2 linked regions of the Saccharomyces cerevisiae S288C genome follow. The protein of the gene in region 1 binds, or shares a complex with, the protein of each later gene. Each region holds a gene or a part of one and is shown in the gene's direction. Other genes may lie near its edges.

What was found. Proteins that work in one complex are often made in the same cells at the same time.
Region 2: MRPL16 (region 1) and MRPL51 share a complex: the UniProt entries of both Saccharomyces cerevisiae proteins name them as parts of the mitochondrial large ribosomal subunit.

The regions. Positions count from the first base shown.
Region 1 is NC_001134.8:144,422-147,395, forward strand, and holds MRPL16 (mitochondrial 54S ribosomal protein uL16m MRPL16), read left to right. Parts: upstream 1-1,765; coding exon 1,766-2,464; downstream 2,465-2,974. Other genes in the region: CTP synthase URA7, read right to left, coding at 1-1,307; APL3 (Apl3p), read left to right, coding at 2,788-2,974. UniProt on the Saccharomyces cerevisiae protein: Component of the mitochondrial ribosome (mitoribosome), a dedicated translation machinery responsible for the synthesis of mitochondrial genome-encoded proteins, including at least some of the essential transmembrane subunits of the mitochondrial respiratory chain.
Region 2 is NC_001148.4:727,843-730,724, forward strand, and holds MRPL51 (mitochondrial 54S ribosomal protein mL43 MRPL51), read left to right. Parts: upstream 1-1,948; coding exon 1,949-2,371; downstream 2,372-2,882. Other genes in the region: LEC1 (Lec1p), read left to right, coding at 1-773; TMH18 (Tmh18p), read right to left, coding at 1,105-1,543, 1,640-1,686; YPR099C (uncharacterized protein), read right to left, coding at 1,915-2,271; SNT309 (Snt309p), read left to right, coding at 2,650-2,882. UniProt on the Saccharomyces cerevisiae protein: Component of the mitochondrial ribosome (mitoribosome), a dedicated translation machinery responsible for the synthesis of mitochondrial genome-encoded proteins, including at least some of the essential transmembrane subunits of the mitochondrial respiratory chain.

The DNA.
Region 1 (2,974 bases):
TTTTCATCAATGTCTGGATAAAATTCTGCCGAATGACTGTCTTTTCTTCCCAACACACTACGTGTAAATTCAATGGTGGCAATTTGTAAACCCAGGCAAACCCCTAAGAATGGAATGTGATTTTCACGAGCCCATCTAGCAGCCAAAACCATACCTTCAGTACCTCTAACACCAAAACCACCGGGGATTAAGATACCGTCTGCGGTACTGACCATGTTCCATGCTTCATGAAATTTAGTTTTGTTGCTTTCTTGTGCTTCAGGTTCCAAATCAGTAGCTTCCACCCATTTAATGTCTAACTTACGACGACACTTCATGGATGAATGTTCCAATGCTTTTATCACTGATAGATAAGAATCTTTCAAGTTGGTGTATTTCCCAACCAAAGCAATCTTCACTGTTTCCATGGATTCATCGAAGTTACCTGTTGTGGCCTTCCATTTAGACAATAATTCCAGGCCTCTTTGTTTTTCTTCTTCTGTAAGTGATATTTCATCTAACTTTAATCTGGCGTGTAAGTAATCAATCATCTTTTGTTCCAGTAGCAACAATGGGACGTGATAAGTAGAATTAACATCGTGAACGTTAACCACCTGTTCAGGCCCCACATGACAAAACATGGCAATCTTATCGATTGTTGGTTTATCCAAAGTTTCACTACATCTACAGGCGATCATATCTGGAACTAAACCAAGAGACCTCAAACCTTTGATGGCAGCTTGAGTTGGCTTAGTTTTTTGTTCACCGTGGATGACAGGAACTAGAGAAACGTGTATCAAGGCAAAATTTTCCTTTCCAACTTTAAATTGGAATTGTCTTAGTGCCTCCACAAAAGGAGCACTTTCAATGTCACCAACTGTCCCACCCAATTCAATGATACAAACATCTGGTTCCATACCGGTGTCATCTACAGGAATTTTGGCCACGCGCTCAATCCAATCTTGGATAGCGTTGGTCAAATGAGGGACAATTTGCACGGTTTTGCCTAAATAGTCACCTTTTCTTTCCTTAGCAATAACGTGCGAGTATATTTTACCAGTAGTAATGTTATGATCTTTAGTCAAAGTAACTCCAAGGTATCTCTCGTAGTTACCCAAGTCCAAATCTGTTTCACCACCGTCGTCAAGCACGAAACATTCACCATGTTCCAAAGGAGACATAGTACCTGCATCAATGTTCATATAAGGGTCAATTTTAATTGACGTAACCTTTAAACCGAGGGTTTTCATTAGCATACCAGTTGAAGATGCAAGAACACCTTTACCGATACCCGAAATGACACCACCTGAAACAACAACGTACTTCATTTTCTGTCTATAAGTTTCTTTTGTTCTATTGACCAATTCACTGAGAAACTGCCTGAAACTTTTTCGACCTTAGAATGGCAGAAAAATGGCAAATACTGTAAAATACTTAACATTTAACTAAATTTTATTCTATGCTTTTCCTCTCGATGAGATGAGCTGTGAAAAATTTTGAAAAAAAAAAAAAAAAAAAAAAAAAAAAAAATTTGTTATCACCAATAACGAGAAACCTAACTCTAAAACTTAGGGTCAAAGAACAGAACCCTAGGCTTTGTATCCAGTTGAATCACTAATTACGAAAGAATGCTGGTGGAAATAATAATATCATATTGGTGCTCAAATAACAAGAAGACTTCTTTGGAAGAAATTATTACCAATTAACAGTCCACTTGTAGAGCGTACATATTGCCGGGAAGTTGATTACCTTTCACCAGAGGTACAGAGGAATAGAATTTTGCAACATGTTCCCCTATTTAACAAGAATGAATTTATCCATAAAGATGGGAGGGCTAACTTTAAAAGAAAGTTCCCCCAATGCTTTTTTAAATAACACCACTATTGCTAGGAGATTCAAGCATGAATATGCCCCACGTTTCAAAATCGTACAGAAAAAGCAAAAAGGTAGAGTGCCAGTTCGTACAGGTGGTTCAATAAAGGGATCCACTTTGCAATTTGGTAAGTACGGATTACGACTGAAAAGCGAAGGTATTAGGATATCCGCGCAACAGCTGAAGGAAGCAGATAACGCAATTATGAGATATGTCAGGCCTTTAAACAATGGTCATTTGTGGAGGCGTTTGTGTACAAACGTTGCTGTATGTATCAAGGGTAACGAAACAAGAATGGGTAAAGGTAAAGGTGGGTTTGACCACTGGATGGTGAGGGTACCCACAGGGAAGATCCTTTTCGAAATAAATGGTGATGATTTGCATGAAAAAGTCGCACGGGAAGCCTTCAGAAAAGCAGGCACCAAGTTACCTGGGGTATATGAATTTGTATCCTTGGATTCTCTGGTTAGAGTTGGATTACATAGTTTCAAAAATCCTAAAGACGACCCAGTGAAGAATTTTTACGATGAAAATGCAAAGAAGCCATCAAAGAAGTATTTGAATATTTTAAAGTCTCAAGAACCACAGTACAAACTCTTCAGAGGACGTTGAACGGATTGAACACACCATGTATACATGTATATAACTATTGAAAAATATCGATATTCACAATCAAGTAATCTAGCCATGGCTATGAGTTTATTAATTCTAGTATGCACTGTATACTCTCTGCGGAAGAATAGGAGTTTTTCCCCGGAGTGAGCGCTGAAGAAACACATGACGACGTGAAAAAACACTTGTTTGATCCAGCTGAGGTATAAACACTGAGAAATATTTGAGGGTCAAAGAAGCACTAGGAACGTTACAGTTGGAATTTGCTAGTCAATCGAGTTTCCAATTTCGCAACCTTTATTATAGTACTAATCTTATAAGCCATGGATCGCAAAAAAACACTTATAAACTCAAGTGTTTCTAATAATAACAGTACCATCAAGGGCCTACAGTTATTCATTGCAGATCTTCGTTCTGCACAACAAGCACAAGAGCAGGAAAAGAGAATACAATCTGAAATTGTCAAAATTAAACAGCATTTCGATGCTGCAAAGAAAAAACAAGGCAATC
Region 2 (2,882 bases), on another chromosome or scaffold:
AGGCAATTGTCACTATGATTTACGAACCTATGGTCAAGATCTTCAAAGTTGCAAGGATGGATGTTGCTTTGAAAAATTTTGAGAAGTTCATGAGTGATTTGATCAGGCTTGTTGATGATGTTATCAATGGTCAGTTGGGCGTTTCCACACAGTTCGATGTCGTGGAAGAAATCCATAACTTAGTAACCAAACATCAAGATGCCTTTTTTGAGTTTATTCATGATGTATATTTGAACGATTCAGAGGGCATTTTTGAAGGTTTTATTACTTGGATTACTACGATAGTGAAATTTTTGCAAAAGAGTAAATTCGGAGGACCGAGTGAAAGGATCGACTTCAATAAGTTAATTTGTAGAGATGATATCGATATTGATGTCAAACTTTTGAAAGTTCAAGTTAATAATGTTCTTAATAAAAAGATTGGTGCGAGAAAAATCTATAAGAAGTTGTTAGATTTGAAGGTTAAACAAGGTACTAAACAAAATAACAAACACGCTGCTGGCATACTTCAAAAGAATTGGAGTGACATAAACTCCTTGGTTATGCCATCCAGCTCTGGATCTTTTGGACTTGGAGATGGTGATTTGGTGGATTTGGATCTCGATACAGGTGATTACGATTTTTTACATAAAGAGAATGAAGTTGAATTAGAAAAGCAATACAAAGATTTATTGAATCTTGTTGTTGATGAAAGTGAAATTGATAAATTGAGATCTCAAGTTTTCGCACAGGAATTAAAAAATTATTTAGAAGCTCAAATTGCTAAAAAGTAGGCCCTTTCTAGTATCTCCTTTATTCGTTTTTATTCGTTACGATTTTCCGGCTTAATAATATAGGATTGCTAGGTCTATATATAAGAAAAGCTTGTAGAAATAAAAAAATAGAAAAAACTTCAAGATAAATATTGTTCTCTTTTATTTTAAGATCCTACAAACAGCACAATTCCCCTTTTAGTTATTTTTAGCCAAGATCAGGATAGCAGAGAACTGAGTCCCTTATTCTTTAATTGAGGGTCAAAAAATTCCGATTGCGAACTTCATCTCCACCTTGGCAAAGGAATGACGAAAAAATGATCTTGCATATATATATTTACTTGTAAAATAATTATTTTGGAATTTTTCTTAACAAACCACCTGACAAACAAACACCGTACGCAAGCATCCCGCAAACATTAGAAAGATTGAACAAAAGACTCAATCCGTGCGACTTGCCAAATTCTTTACGTAATATAGCATCCTTTGCTTCCAATTCACTACCCGTGTATTTCTTCGCAATATTCTTTCTTTGTTCTTTAACTTTATGGGTCCAGGGCAACAACCAAAACAAATTGGTTAGCCCACTGACAGATGCAACCACCAAAGAAGATAATGGTCCTGTTGTCAAGGCAATTGGAGCGGTAAGGGCCAGGATGACAGGTGATGCCGCTTGCATTTGGAAAAAATACGGGAAGATCTTATTTTGCAAAGCAGAAAATTGGTCTTTTTCAAGAACTTTGAATGCGATTGGAGAAGCTACATAGGAATAAAACGTCGTTCCTCCAAATCTGAAAGATTAAGTTGGTACATAAAAGTTGTTAGTCAGTTATTCTCAATTAATCATAATTGTTCAAATTTTTTCTTGTGTCTTAATCTGTACATACACAAAGGAATAAAAAAGCAAATGAGCCGTAGTTTTGACTAAACACATTTTTCGTTGTTAAGTTTACTGGACTGTAAAGCGTAGTTTGATCTGCCTATATCATCAAACAACTCCATTTAACTCCCTTAAATAATACTATTCTTTTCTGTAAGTTTATCGCACTATACGTTACGGTGCTTTCCGTCTTTTTCGGATGAGGGATGCTCATAAGAATTACAACAAATCATAAGCCCTGAGATAAAAAAGATCAATCAATACGATTATCATAAACCATGACTAAGTAGATACACAGACACGAATATATGGAGAAATGGTTGTGAAAGCTATTGCACGAAATTCCATAGGTCGTAATGGAGTTGGAGCATTCGTGTTTCCATGCAGAAAGATTACTTTGCAATTCTGTAACTGGGGAGGGTCTTCGGAAGGCATGAGGAAATTTTTGACTTCAAAGAGATTAGATAAATGGGGCCAGGAGTTCCCATGGATACAGTTTGAAGTGATGAGGAAGTCTGGACATCCTTTGTTGAGGGCAGAATACACAAATGGGCGTGAAAAAGTTATTTGTGTGAGAAACTTGAACATTGACAATGTAGAAAACAAGCTAAAGCTATTGAAGGATTCTGATGGAGACATTTTACGCAGAAGAACAAAGAATGATAACGTGGAAAGCTTGAACAGTAGTGTGAGGGGTATATGGTCGCCTCTGCATGCTGCGAAAAGGCATAGAATTTAGCTTTAGTATATAAGAAAATTCTAGAAATAGAGAGAGATAATTATACTTGTATATATAATTTGGGGCAGATAAGACTCCTGATATTTAAGATTTAAAGTCAATTTTGCCATTGTTATATGATCATGTCCTGAAATATGACCTCTTGTATTTGGTTACCCGCTTTACACCCTGCAAATCACACTAGTCTAATAAATATGGAATAAGACTGAAACATATAAAAGATGTAACTTCTAGGATATCTGAAAGAGCAACCGTACGGTATTCAACGTTTAGATTTGATGGACGGCCTTAGCTTTGTTGATAAAGGGAAAATACCAGATGGTTACAAAAATGAAATAGATCAATTAGTAAAGAAGGAATTTGCGAATATAAAAAGAGAGCCTGTTCATCCCGAAATACGAGGTATACTTGCGAAGAGAAAGGGGGCCGATAATAGTGTTTCTACGCTTACAAATGCATTGTACACCGAATACTTGAAACAACGTAATAACAAAAAAAGGCGAACACCGGA